Linked DNA regions of Lonchura striata. The protein of the gene in region 2 purifies or fractionates together with the protein of the main gene of each other region. This does not show direct contact. Links are inferred from orthologs where the notes say so. Each region holds a gene or a part of one and is shown on either strand. Other genes may lie near its edges.

The links. The genes of interacting proteins can lie anywhere in the genome.
Region 1: the proteins of KLF11 (region 2) and SIN3A purify together in Homo sapiens (affinity purification with western blotting, with the first as the bait; 3 studies listed by BioGRID). This does not show direct contact. The link is inferred for Lonchura striata from reciprocal best matches to the Homo sapiens genes KLF11 and SIN3A.

The regions. Positions count from the first base shown.
Region 1 is NC_134613.1:5,632,180-5,639,066, forward strand, and holds the start of SIN3A (paired amphipathic helix protein Sin3a), read left to right. Parts: upstream 1-3,878; 5' UTR 3,879-3,922; intron 3,923-5,152; exon of another isoform or gene 5,153-5,229; intron 5,230-5,755; exon of another isoform or gene 5,756-5,992; intron 5,993-6,887. UniProt on the Homo sapiens protein: Acts as a transcriptional repressor. Corepressor for REST. Interacts with MXI1 to repress MYC responsive genes and antagonize MYC oncogenic activities. Also interacts with MXD1-MAX heterodimers to repress transcription by tethering SIN3A to DNA.
Region 2 is NC_134605.1:99,041,352-99,048,357, forward strand, and holds the start of KLF11 (Krueppel-like factor 11), read left to right. Parts: upstream 1-3,988; 5' UTR 3,989-4,083; coding exon 4,084-4,125; intron 4,126-4,989; exon of another isoform or gene 4,990-5,108; intron 5,109-6,322; coding exon 6,323-6,577; intron 6,578-7,006. UniProt on the Homo sapiens protein: Transcription factor. Activates the epsilon- and gamma-globin gene promoters and, to a much lower degree, the beta-globin gene and represses promoters containing SP1-like binding inhibiting cell growth.

The DNA.
Region 1 (6,887 bases), on a different chromosome or scaffold from region 2:
TGGTTTTGGTTTTTTTGTTGTTGTCGGGACCACCTAAGATGTACCTAGAGAGGGGCTTTGCAAAGTCCTAGGAAATGTATTCCCAGTCCTGGGGCTGAGGAAGAGGCACGTGCTTCGGTCTCACCTGAGGCTCCATCTGTGTGTCTGTATGTATGTGTGTATATAATATACCCCCGCTGTGACCCCCTGCCTATTATATAGATACATATATACGACCTCCCCTTTAGCAGCTCCCAAGGGTCCCCGCTGTCCTGCCACCTCACTGCTGTGACCTCTGGAGCGGTGAGTTTGGTCCTGGCTCTGTTTTGTCTTCCCCCTTCTCCTTATTTCCCCTCATGGGCAACGTTGGGACCCAGTACCCACTCCTGTGCCCATCCCGCCGGAGGCACAAGGATACTTGATAGTGTCCCCCGTTTCTTTGTCTCATCTTCCCCATGGAGAGGTAGCAGCTGTGCTCCTGGGAAGATCTGGAAGATTGGGTTGCCGGGGGGTGCCGAGCTGGCAGGCATCCCCTGCCCCTTGGGTGCCGCTGAGGGAGTCACTAGGTACGAGGTGACGGGGCCGTGGGGACCGACCGGCTCTCCAGGTTGCCCGGCTTTCCCAAGCTGCCGCTGGGAACCCGCGGGCCCAGCCCTGCGTTGAGTCATGGGCTGGGAAAGCGCTGAGCAAGAGTAAACCCCAAACCCTGGAGAGGCAGCGAGCCTCTGCCCCGGCCCCAACCCCTGCCACTGCCAGGGCCTCCCCAACTTTATACTGTAATAAGCTCTTTGAATGTGTATATTCTTATTTTTTTATAATCTTGGGGGAGGAGGGCACAGGGTTTGGGAGGTTTGGTTTTGTTTTGTTTTCTTTAGGGATTTTTTTTTGTTTGTTTTTTTGGGGTTTTTTTTGGGGGGGGGGGGTTGGCTTTTTTTTTTTGGTTTTTTTTGTATTTAACATTAACTTGATCCAAGCCGGAGCCAGAAGTATTTGTAAATGTTCCTATTTTGCTCTCAGAGAGACCTTTTTGTTGTTGTTACTTTTTTGGGAGTTGTTTTGTTTTTATTTGTATTGATATATAAATATACCACCAGTGACCAGTCCTCTTTGCTGTTGTGGGGGCATTGGGCAGGACAGAAGGAGGGAATTCAGGGTTTTGCACAGGCTGTGATCTCTAAATTCAGCTGGCCCCATCCCTGGCTACCTGTGAACTTTGAGGAGCACAGGGCTGTGCTTAGGGCTTATTCTGGCCTGGGTGAGGCTGAGACAGAGATAACCAGGCTGCAGGAAGCTTTCCTGGGCGGGCCGGATAGTGTCAGGAGGGAAGGCAGCACAATGAGCTGGTGTACCCAGGGGCGACACAAGCCACCCTGCTCCAAGCTCCTGCCTCTTCCCAGGGCCTTGACAAGCCTTAGGACATCAGTCTCTGTCTGGCCATGGTATCTGCCTGCTGCTGCCTTTTGCTGCAGGATTTGGGGGTGCAGACATCGCCTCTGTGCTTCTGAATCCCCTCTGAGCAGGCAAATAGGGCACAAAAATTAGGGGGAACTCCTGGGCTGTCAGGCAGCACCAGTGCCTTCAGGTGCAAGCAATGCCAGTCCCAGAGCAGCAGGCGCAGCCTGAGGCTTAGGGATGAGGGAATAAAAAAGGCAGCTTGTGCAAATGAAGCCCTAGAGCCAGCGAGAGAGCTCATGCCCCAGAGCAGGGCAGCTGGCGGGTGTGAAGAGCCGCACCTGTGTTTGTTCAGCTGGAGCCTAAAAACGTGAGGGATGCCAGTGTCTTTCTAGGACTAGCACAGGGAGAAGCTTTCCCCTGTGCTCTGGGGGTGGACTGGCTTGGCTGTGCCAAACTGAGGTCAGACACAAGCACTGCAAGGCTGGAAAAGAACCAGAGGCAGCAGGGAATCCGTCTGGAAGGGCTGCACAGGAGTGCACGAGAGGTGGGTGTTGGGAGCAGTCCTGGAGCTGTGCACATCCTGCCTGCAGAGTGGTTCTGGTTCAGCTGCCATGTCCCATCCTTCCAGGTACTTTTTTCCACCCAGCTCTCTCCTGGAGCAGCATCAGCCCAGGCAGTTTGCTCTGCTCCTGTGGCTCAGGCTGCCCCAGAGTTTCCCTCCAGGCACCTATTGCAGGGTGGCTCCTCTAAGAGAGCTCTCATCCTCTGAAGGAAGGCTCCTGTGGCCCTACCTCCTCACTGCCAAACTTTTTCACCCAGCTGGGCTTTCTTCTCGGCACACATGCAGGAGGGGAGTGTTAGCAGTTTATTGTTAATCCTGTGCTGTCAGCAGCAGCTCTCTGTAGCTCAGCGGGGCTTTTGGCAATGTGTTGGGTCCAGATCTGAAAGCTGCAGGTGATGCCAAGTGTCCTACGTGGCTCCACGAATGTGCCCAGCTCATGTCTCTCTTCCACTGGCTGTGAAATCCCAACGAAGCCCGCTCTGAGCACACGGTCAAGGTGGTTGTGCATTCTAGCTCAATTCCACGTGATGTGGGCACAGAGAAGCAAAATGTTTCCAAGATTCACGTCCTGGGTGTCGAGTAGGAATAACCAGAGGAGAGGGAGGGAGATAACCAGCGCTGCCTCTGAATGGGAACAGCTCGGATATGCTGCTCCCTTTGAGGAGTGATGAAGATCCCATCTGTGCTGGAGGCGGAGGAAAAGGTTGTAAACCTTTTCCATGGGAAAACAACCCAAACACACCCTCCCTTACTATTTCCAGGGCTGCCTTTCTTCTCAAAGCCAGCATTTTCAGTCCGCTTGCACAACATGATGTTTTGTTCCATCCATTCTGTCCATGCCAGCAGGTCCTACTCAGCAGTAGCAATAAGGATTTCTCTGGAAATGGTCACATCACACAGACAGCCAAAAGTTTCTGGAAAGAAAAACTTTGTATTGTTTGGAAAGCGGTGGGAAAAATGGGCTGTTGAGTGCAAGCAGCCTGATGCCTGGAGGATCTCCCCTTCCCTGAAGTGGCCCAGAGATAGGGATCAGCCACCACGGGCAAAAGTAACAGCACAGGCAATTCCAGGAACAAAATCCCAAGTTTCGCTGGAGTTTGGAAACAGGGATTTAAAGGCATTGCAGGGCAATCCTAAAGCGGCGCTGCCATCGCTGTGCCCACCTGTCTCATTTGGCTTTCTTGGCTGCATGCACGCCACCTCGCTAATGACGATTACTTTAGTGCTTGTAATTTTGCGCCCTGGGAGTTTGGAAAGAGCCTAGCTCCAGAGCTCTTAATTTCCCAGCCCTTCTGCTTCCTTGCCTCCGATTTCCAAGGTTCAGGCTCGATCTCCAGTGGCACTGCAGCCCGTGCAGGCTCAGAGCCCGGTGTCGAGAGCCCTTCCAGGGGTTAATCCGAGCTGCAGCTCCCAGCTGCGGAGAGCTCCTCTGCTGTGCCGGCTTGTCCCGGCAGCAGCCCTCTGCCTGCTCCTGCAACGCTCTCCCAGCCTGAGAGAGGGAAGAACAGCTGGAAAGAAGAACAAAAAACAACTAGATTTAGACCTTCTCTGAGTGAAGAAGGTGCTCGAAACACACACTTGAATAGAAGCGTGCAATATGTGTGTTTGTATTTCACCCTTTCCCGAGCACGCTCCAGACGCCCAGATGAGCACTGACGGGCGGCCAGGCCTGGCTCCCGCAGCCTCCGTCTGGGGAAGCCGGCAACCCCCTCCGCAACTTTGCAAAGGGAGAGAAACACGATGACTGACGGCACTGACCCCCACCTCCATCTCGCGTTCCAGCGGAGGGGAACGCCGGCTGCCGCCGCGGGGGCACCGGCCGGCTCGGCTCCCCCCGCCCTCCGCCGAGCGGCCTTTCCCTCACACCCCTGCCCGCGGCCCCCCTCCCGCCGTGGGCGGCGCGGCCGTGACGATCGGCGCCGCGGGGCCAATCCGCCCCGGGGGGAGTTCCCCCTCCATTCAGGGCTGCTCGCCTGCGCGCTGAGGGTATGTAACAGCTGCTTCCCCCACACGCACTTTCCCAGTTTCGCCCCCCTTCACGGGGATCGCTTCCCGAGCGCCGGGCCGGCGGCCGGGCGGGAACCTGAGGGAAAGGCGGCGGGGGGGGTGGAGGGGAGAGAAGCGCGCGCGCGCTGCGGATCCCGCCGGCGGGAAGCGCGCGACGGCGGCGGGAGCGGGCGGGGGGGGAGGCGAGTGACTGAGTGTGTGTGCGCGGGGGGAGGGCGGGGGCCATTGCCGCGGTGGCCACGCCCCCTTCCTGGCACGCCATTGGCTGCAGCCGCTGAGGGCGCCGCCCCCCGCGGCGCGCACTGCCCACGGTCCCCCCCCTCCTCCTCCTCGGTGCGTGCGTGCGTGAGTGTGAGCGTGTGCGAGTGTGCGGGGCGTGTGCGGGAGCCCGTGTGTGCGTGTGCCGTGTGCTCCCCGCCCGCACGTGTAACCGACCCGCCCCACGTGGGGCGCCGCCATCCCGGAAGTGAAGGGGTCGGGGACAAAAGGCAGCGCCGCGCCGCCCCCGGGACCGAGCCCCGCCGCCAAGTCCCCCCCGCCACTCCCGCCGCCGAAGCGGTTGGCGGCGGGGCCCGGGGCCGGTGGGGGGGCTGACGGGGGCAGCCGCTGGCGCGGGCCGCGGCCGCGATGTAAACATTCCACAAAAGGGCTCCCCAGAGAGGGGGGCGTGGCCTCGCCGGTGGCGGGCAGGGCCAATTCGCCGCGTGGGTGGGCTTCTCGGCGTGACGGCGGCGCGGCCCCGCTCGCCAATTGGCCGGCGCTCCGGTGTCGCAGCCAATAGGGCGGCGCGGGAGGCGGGACGGGGGCGGGGCGCGCTGCTTATACGGACATTTTTCTTCGGCGGTCGCTCCCCCCCCTCCTCTCCTCCCTCCCTTCCTCTCCACATCCCCTTCCTGGGGGCCGCGGCCAATAGGGGAGGGCCTGGTGGGCGGGGCCAGCGCTCCCATTGGCCGAGAGAGTGACGGGCGCGCGTCCCAGCCAACGGGCGCTCGGGGCTCCCCCCCTGCGCGAGGAGGGGCGGGATTTCCCGGGGAACAGAGAAGCGGGCAGCGCTCCGCCGCGGCGGCCGACAGACGGTTACTCCATCTTACCCCCCCCGCCGAGCCCCCCGCCCCCGCCGGGGCACCGGCGCCGCCCCCGCCCGCCCCCCCCCTCCGGGAGGAGGGGCGCGGGGACCCCCCCTTCTCACTGCGCCGGGGACAGCCCGCCCCCGCCGCCCGCCCGGGAGGTGCCCGCCACCCCCGGACCCTGAGGGAGACGCGGCCGCTGCCAGGAGCAGCTTCGAGGTAAGGAAGAGCGGGGCGGCGGGGACGGGAGGCCGCCGGGCCCGGGGCCGGCCCCCTCCGGCGATCCGTAGGGGGCGGGGCCCGGCGCCGGTGCGGCGGCGGCGCGGGGTTGGGGGGGGGCCGGTCGGTGCCCGCGGCGCGGCTCCCCGGGGAGCCCCGGCCCGCGCGGGCGGCCGCGCGTCCTCCCGCCCCGCCCCGCCCCGCCGGGGTGTCCCGGCCCCGGCATGGCGGGAGCGGCGGGCGGAGCGTGCGGCGGCCGCTGGGCGCGCTGCGAGCCGGGCGCCGCCTCCTCCCCCCGCCCCTCCGCCCGCCCTCCGCCCGGTGCCGCTCCCGGGCTGCGGCGGGACCGCCCCCGGCAGCGCTCGCCCGCATCGCACGGCCCCGGTACCGGCCGCACCGCGCGCCGGAGCCGCCGCCGGGGCTCCCGCCCGCCCGGGGGGGCGTTCCGAGAGCCGGCGGGGGGGGCGCGGTGCTCCCGGTCCCGGGGCCCGCCCAACTTCCCGCGGAGTTGCCGTGAGAGCGCCGTGCCGGGCCGCCCCCCCGCCGCCGTCCCGCTCCGGCACGGCCGCGGGCTCCCCCGTGGCTTCTCGCCGCTCTCCGGCTCCGTAGCGCAGCTCTCCGGAAGGACCTGTTGGAGCGACGCGTGGATGCAGGGAAACCCGAGAGCTCCTCGTGCACTCATTAATTTTCCTGCGATTTTTATAGCGAGCCGGATCCTTCTGCTCGTCCTCCCGTGCTGTGAACTTGGCAGACGCTTACGCTGGTATTTCATCCCTTTTTAAAAATTCTTCAGGCTCGTGTACATCCCTAGAAACTACTTTAAGGTTTGTAGGGTTTTTTTTGCTAGCAGGACCTAGTGGAGTTCAGGTAGCTTTAAAAGTAGGATGGTGTTTATGTCCGCTTAACTAAATCCTGGTTTTTCTGCCTTTTCCTGGCCTGGGTTCACGTTATTTGTGTGAATAGCACATGTGCTTAGATAGAAGTTACATCCCTGAAGAAACCTATTTATTTGGACCACTGAAATGGGGCAAAATTAGTTGTGTCAGCTCTATTTTAAACAAATTATCAAAGGCATCTCCAGCTGTGCGTGGATTTTCAGTCTCCCACGCTGTCTAGAGGAATCTAAACCTGGTCTATGTGTTAAAGTGTAGCTTAAAGATGACATAACACCTCATGTTTCTCTTTAACTTGCCGCTTTTAGTTGTGCTAAAAGGTGCAGGGTCAGTAAACAAGTGGGAAATGCCCAACTTAATTCAGTACAGCTGTATCTTTACTGGCCATTTTTCACTCCCAACTTGTAATTATTTTTCAAAATACACTTTCAGAAAAGTAAACATTATTATATAAGATTACATTACTATGTAGGATTAACTATATAGTGCAGTATTTTAAATTAAAATGGCATTTTATTTTAATATACTAATTTTAAAGCATCTGTAAGACTTCCTTCATCACATAAAGTGCCTTGGCAGCCTGGTGTCAGCCTGTGCTGGATCTCCAAGGACAGAAAAACACTTTTTAGGGTGTTTGTTTTTTTTTTTCCCTGCTGAGGTGAAGTTAGCAGTTTTTCACATGGGTACGCTCTTTACAAAAGGAAATCGTGCTTTTCCTCCCCCCAAACTGTCTTATCCTCATCCCTCCCACCTTCTGCTTCTGGT
Region 2 (7,006 bases):
TGCATGGCAGCTCTGATTGTAATTATCTATATTTATTTAGACAGATATCTGTATTTATTTAGCCATTTGCTGGGCTCTGCGTGCTTGCTAAAGTAGCCTGCTGCTGTATGCAGCCAGACCAGATGCTGCTGCCAAAATGCAGTAACTGTAGAGCTGCACCCCAGACAACTACTTTGGTCTATTTTTAACTAGTGGTTAAATATTAGGAAAACTGTCTGAGCCCATAATATTCTCCCTTCAGTCTCTTTTGAACATTTTATGGCATAATTAGCTACAAAAAGGGAATGGGGGAGAGCTGCCTGCATGACCTTTTGTTGTTTCCAGTCTCCAGTATTAATTATTTTCCCTGCTACTCACACAGGATGTTTGATTCTTTCTTGTCATCCCAGCCAAAAGGATAAGATAACCAGAGCAGAGCCTTCTCAACCCTTCACTGCAGCCACTTACATTTGCTCCTTCCTACCTTGGAACAAAGGCATTGTCTCTCTCCAACAAAGAAAGCTTTTCTCTGAAGTGTTTGCCAGGATGTGAGTTGAACAGGCCTTTATAAAACCACAGCTCCTCGGAGAGCCCGATCCAGAGAACACTGCAGCAGCAGCAGCACTGGAGGAGGGGGCTGGTGCAGGAAGGCTCTGCTGGGAGGGACACGACCTTGCCCCAGCCAGGCAGGGCAGGGACACCGGCATGGGCAGGCTGCTCTTTGGAATGGAGTACTGAGGTACCTGGCTTTGTTCCAGGTTGCTGCCTCCCAGGAGGGAAACTGCAGCCAGCATGGATCATCCCAAGGAGCTCACTCGGGCGTTGCTTAGGCAGCTGCACTGCTTGGTGAAACCCATGGGGAAACCAGTGGGTATAGGCACAAGTATAAAGAAGCAGGATAATGTTAACTGTTTTATTATTCACCTTGGTGCAGCCTTGGGAAGGGAAAGAAAGCAGGGAGAAGTAGGAGTAGGGAGAGAGGGAGAAGCTCTAAGGCTGCCAGGGCTGGGAGCTCAGGCTCTGTGGGGTTCAGAGCCCTGATATTCGATGTGAGGGTGAAGGTGGTCCTTCCTCATCTAACACTGCCTCAGCTGGCAGCAGCAGACAAAGGCAAACTTAAGTGACTTTGGTAAGAGTTCCACGGATTTATTTAAAAAACTTTAGTTGCCATTTTTAGCTCAGCAAGGCAAACATAATCAAGCACATTTTCCCTGTAGCACAAGGAGAACAGACCTGTAACATCACTTCTTTTAAGTGGTCCGTGGTCTTGCATCCACGAGCCGTAGCGAGGACTCCTGGGGAACTTGGAACACGTAGGCACAGCCTGTGCTGTGTGACATGGGAAACACCCTGTTGGGAGTCAGGAGAAATGATTCCACTCTACTTCCATGTGACTGCTTCTTCCCTGGCAAGGCTGCTGTGCTGCCTTCAGATGCTGCTACTCAATTAGAAGTCTCTGCTGTCAATGACTAAGTCTGTGCGAGTGCTTTGAGCAGGAACTGCAAGTGTTACAACAAGCAGCAAGGAGAAAACCACAAGTCACTTCCCAACTACAGTAGAACAGGAAAACTTGCAAAATAGATCAGTAGTTTCCTAGTTTTACAATTCCCTGAACGTTTTCTTGAAAAGGATCCATGCAATTGCTAGGCACAAACCCCATGTCCCCACTCTGCTGCCTTAACTATGCTTTTTAGTCACCAATGGCATTTTAACAAACTTTTTTCATTCTCTGGCACACAACTGATTCCCTTTTGCAAACAAAACTCTTTAATGTTAGAACTTGATTTGCAGTTTGAATTATCAGCATTTTCCTCACCATCACACAGCAGAGGCCAGGGCTCCAGCACAGCAAGTCTCATGCAAATACTGAGAGAGAAAGCTGCTGGTAACATATGCATTGCACAAAGAGCTGGCCAGGGAGACCCTTTGAACTTGTGGTTTGATGGGCTGGGATGTGCTAGTGCTGGGAAAGCTGAAGGATGTGAAACGTCTATTAATGGAGAGCAGGGATGAGCACAGTGCAGTGAAGCTTAGAAACTACATGGACAGCAGAGAAGGATGGGATTTGGAACAGCTATAATGGAAAAAATAAATCCCAGTGGCAAAATGAAGCTGACAGCAGAAGATGCCCATAGATTCAAGATGATTATCTGTGTGGACACTTGAGGTTGTAACGTCTTGAGAAACCAGGGAAGGAACAAATAGAGATAATTCAGCAGGATAAAATGCTTTTGCTATCCTTATTCTGTGTCAAGGAGGCCTAAGCGAAGGGGCAGGGTGGGTCAGGATAGCGCTGGCAAAGCCAGCAGCCATCAGAGGCCCGCGGAGCCGGGTCCGTCCTGTCCCGGGACACAGCTAAGCCCTGCCCGCGGAGCCGGGTCCGTCCTGTCCCGGGACACGGCTGAGCCCTGCCCGCGGAGCCGGGTCCGTCCTGTCCCGGGACACGGCTGAGCCCTGCCCGCGGAGCCGGGTCCGTCCTGTCCCGGGACACGGCTGAGCCCTGCCCGCGGAGCCGGGTCCGTCCTGTCCCGGGACACGGCTGAGCCCTGCCCGCGGAGCCGGGTCCGTCCTGTCCCGGGACACGGCTGAGCCCTGCCCGCGGAGCCGGGTCCGTCCTGTCCCGGGACACATCTCCGAGCCTTCCCTGCAGACCCAGGTCCGTCCTGTCCCGGGACACGGCTGAGCCCTGCCCGCGGAGCCGGGTCCGTCCTGTCCCGGGACACATCTCCGAGCCTTCCCTGCAGACCCGGGTCCGTCCTGTCCCGGGACACGGCTGAGCCCTGCCCGCGGAGCCGGGTCCGTCCTGTCCCCTCGCAGCTCCGACAGCAGCTCTTGGTGCTGCTCAGTACAACCACAAATCCTGCTGGGAATCACAGGGCCAATACACTTCGGCTGCCACTGGAAAATGACAACAGCTGGGGACAGGAAAAACCGAAGAACATCTTTAATAGAATACAAGTTGTGACTTGAAGGCTTTTAAGAGCTACATGCTGGGCTGGCCCAGGGGAGACCTTCCAACACCAACGGATCCAATGATCCATAACACTGACCCTTCATGGATTTTGGGAGGGGATTTAGGGCTATTTGTAATCCCAAATCCTTCATCCGGCAAAGCAGTGCCGTGGCCGGGCAGGCACCCGACCCCTTCCCTATCCTATGTGGCAGGCAGGACCTCGACGGGCGCGGCGGGGACAGGGCGCTCTTCCAGCCGGGAAGCCGGCGGCGGGAACCGGGGAGCGGCGGGAACCGGGGAGCGGCGGGAGGCGGGGAGCGGCGGGAACCGGGGAGCGGCGGGAGGCGGGGAGCGGCGGGAGCCGGGGAGCGGCGGGAGGCGGGGAGCGGCGGGAACCGGGGAGCGGCGGGAGGCGGGGAGCGGCGGGAACCGGGGAGCGGCGGGAGGCGGGGAGCGGCGGGAACCGGGGAGCGGCGGGAGGCGGGGAGCGGCGGGAGCCGGGGAGCGGCGGGAACCGGGGAGCGGCGGGAGGCGGGGAGCGGCGGGAACCGGGGAGCGGCGGGAACCGGGGAGCGGCGGGAGGCGGGGAGCGGCGGGAACCGGGGAGCGGCGGGAGCCGGGGAGCGGCGGGAGCCGGGGAGCGGCGGGAGGCGGGGAGCGGCGGGAACGGCGGCGGTTGGCGGGAGCGCTCGTGCCGCGCCGCACGCACCGCGGGGGGAGGGGAAAGCGGCGGCCCCGCCCCCCCGCGCGCGGGCATTCCCGGCCGCCGCCCGCCCCCGACCTTTCCCCCAGTTTCCAGCGCGCGCTGCCCCGCCCCTGCCGGCCCCGCCCCCTCCCCGCCTTCCCGCCGGCCGTGCCCACGCGCCGCCCTTCCCGCCGGCACGCCGCGATCACGCCGCCCGCCGCCGCTCATTGGCCGGGCGCGGGCCGCGGCGGGCGCTGATTGGCCGGCGCCGTCCCTTCCGCGCGGTTTGGCGCAGGCTGCGCTCGGAGCGCTCCCTCGGCGCGCGGCCGCGCCGCTCCCGGCGGGCGGGGCCGGGAGGAGGCGGCGCCGCCGGGTGCCGCTCCCGCCGCTGTGTGCGCGCCGCTGCCGCTCCCGCCGTGCCGCTCCCGGGAACAGCGCTGCCCACGCCGCCCGCCCGAGCCGCGCCATGCACGGCTCGCCCTGCTCGGACATGGGAGATGCGCCCGCGGTGAGCACCGGGCGCGCGGAGGGAGGGCGGGAAGAGGGGCGGTGGGGATGGCCAGCGCCGGTGCAGCCCGGGCACGTGCTCGGCGCCGGGCGGAGTGCGGGGACCGCCGCCGCCTCGGCGGGGGCCGCTGCCCACCCGGCGGGGGGCGGCTTGGTTGGGCAGCGGGTCCTGGGCGGCTGTGCCAGGGCAGAGCCCTCGGAAGGGAGCGTTCACCTGCAGGGAAGGGGGGCGGCCCTCCTTCAGCGACCGTGCGGGGGCGGCGGCGGCAGGGTGGGAGCTGCCCGCCGCCCCCTTCTCCTCCTCCTTTCGGTGGCACCGCCCGGCCGCGGGGAGCGGGCGGGGGCCGCTGCGGCGGGGGAGGCGCTGCCCCGCGGCGGGACCCGCGCTGCCCCCGGCACTGCCCGCAGTGCCCGCTCCTCCCTGCCCGGAGCGACCCGCGCTGCCGCATCTCCCTGCCCGCCACGCTCCCTGCCCGTCCCCGTCCCGCCCGTCCCCGTCCCGCCGGCCGCCCGCACGTAGTTCCCGGCGGGGTGATGCGAGGACAGGCGCGGTTGGCCATTTCCCTGGCAGCAGCCGGGGAGCCCGCGCTGCAGCGCTCGTCTGCAGAAAGAGCTTTTTCTGTCAGGGTGGTTTTTTTTAAAATTTCGGAGTGTGTTTTGAGGAAGGGAGGCACATTTTTTTTAAGGTTTCTCTAGGGAAAGCTGCTCGCCTGAAACGTAGGGTTGGAAAAAATAAACCTGTGTGCTCGGCTGCTTGCAGGCGCGCTTAGAGGAGCACTGGCAGACTGCTCAGAGCCAGAGCCCCGCCTGGCCTGGCCCGGTGTGACAGGCGGGTGAGGTCCAGGCTTGCAGGCACACATCGTGTTTTCCTCTCATTGTTTTTCAGTGGCAATTCTTAGAAGTCTGTCTCCAAGGTGTTAATCGCTTTTACCCCTTCCGGCCCCCGAATCATGACATCTCCGTGCCTGGTACCTCATGTTTTAGGTGAAGGTCTTTTGTGAGTGCAGTACTAATATTTTTGATCCATTATGTTTAGCATGTTTGCCTGCACATCCCTAGAGTGTAAATACAGCTTTATATCTTTGTGACACTGTTCAATAAGGATCATCTCACATTACTTAACTCAGTAACAAAACCCATTGACTTAGTGTACAGGTTGTCAACCAATGAGTAGAATTCCTTCTAGGGCTTGAGGCCATGCTAATGGTGTGGTGTTGCCTTTAGAGTAAAATCTTTTTCCTGCAGTACATAAACATTCTGTGAAACAGCAATAGGCTCAAGAGGCTTGGTCCACACTTCTGAATCTCAGCCTTCAAATTAGTTGGTGTGTCTAAAGACTGGAGGAGCCTGGATGCCTAGCTGAGACTGAGCTGGCATGTCAGTAATAACACATTAACCTAGCATAGCTTTTGGAGTCACTGCGAAACACTGTGAGAGCTTTGTGAAGTTTAGATATCCTTGTGCACAGAAGTCAAGTGTTTTGCATGCGTACACATGCCCACACAGATATTCTCTGATGCTTGTAATTGGAAACAAATCAGTATGATTACATTTGTCTTTGTTTTACTCTTAGTGTGCTTTAGATACCTAGCATCAGGCTAGGTTTAGATACCTATGTAGCATCAGGCCTTTCTGAAGTACAATGCAAACAGTTCTCACTGCACTTTGAAGACCATTTTCCTTCTATCTTTTCCCTATCCTGGCTTCTCTATTAAAAATACTTTGTGATGTGCAGTACTCCAAGGCAATGATCATACCTTAAAGCATCTTACCAGCAGCTGAAATTTATCTTATTTCCAGAATGAGATTAGTGCTGAATAGTCTTTTGGATTCAGGAAACAGCCTTGTCTAAACAAGGTTCAAAGTCAGGATTTTCCTCTTTTATGCTTGTATGCAAGCATACAAGGGGTGTGTTTGTTCAGACCAGTGTCATCCAGGAAAGTAAGCGTGGAAATGCGAGCCATGCACATCTGTTATTTTCCTGGAAAATCACATGTCTTCTTTTTTTTTTTTTTTTTTAAGAGAAGGGAATGTGAAGACAAGCTCAGGGGACAGTGAGAGATGAGCCAGTTGGTAAAAGTCTTGCCACGGGCATGGGATCTGTTTCAGTTGACCTTCATTGTGAGCAGACTGTGTGTGGGTGGTGTCAGTTTTGTATTCTGACTTGTCCTAACAGCCAGTAATCTGATTACACGCAGGTTGACATCGTGGACATCTATGAGTCCATCCGTGAACGGCAGCGTCATGACAGTGAAAGGTCCACCTGCAGCACCTTGGAGCAGAACGACATTGAAGCTGTTGAAGCCCTTGTTTGTATGAGCTCCTGGGGTCAAAGATCACAGAAAGGTGACATATTAAAGATAAGGCCCCTCACGCCCTTCTCGGATTCTGGGGATTTCACAATGCATGCCGAGGCTGCGGCTGAATTACCAAAGGACTATCTATCGACACTGGTAAGAAAAGCATGAACACAAATAAATATGCCCAACGCGTGGATGTCACATCCCTGCAGTGCTTTAACTTGGCTGGAAAAGACAGGCTTGCTCAGGTGTCCCTTTGTCATAGCCTGTGCTGTATGTGTGCACAGAGTCAGGAGGTGGGCATGTTGAGTTTGTTTTTTTGCTCTCTCTGGTTTAGCAAATGTAGAGGCTTTTGTTAAATTTAGGTGTGAAAGACAGGTTATTGGATTTGACGGGGATGTCACCATGGCTGTTGTAGGTTTCTTGGAGCACTTTGAGTAAGAATGGCAGAGTGAGCCTTGGTGATTAGGCATCAACATATCTGCAAGCACTGTATAAAAAAAGGCCCTTGATGATATTATGCTTCGCTGGTCATTTTAAGAGAAAGTACACACTACCATTATGAAATAGGCAATTTAATTA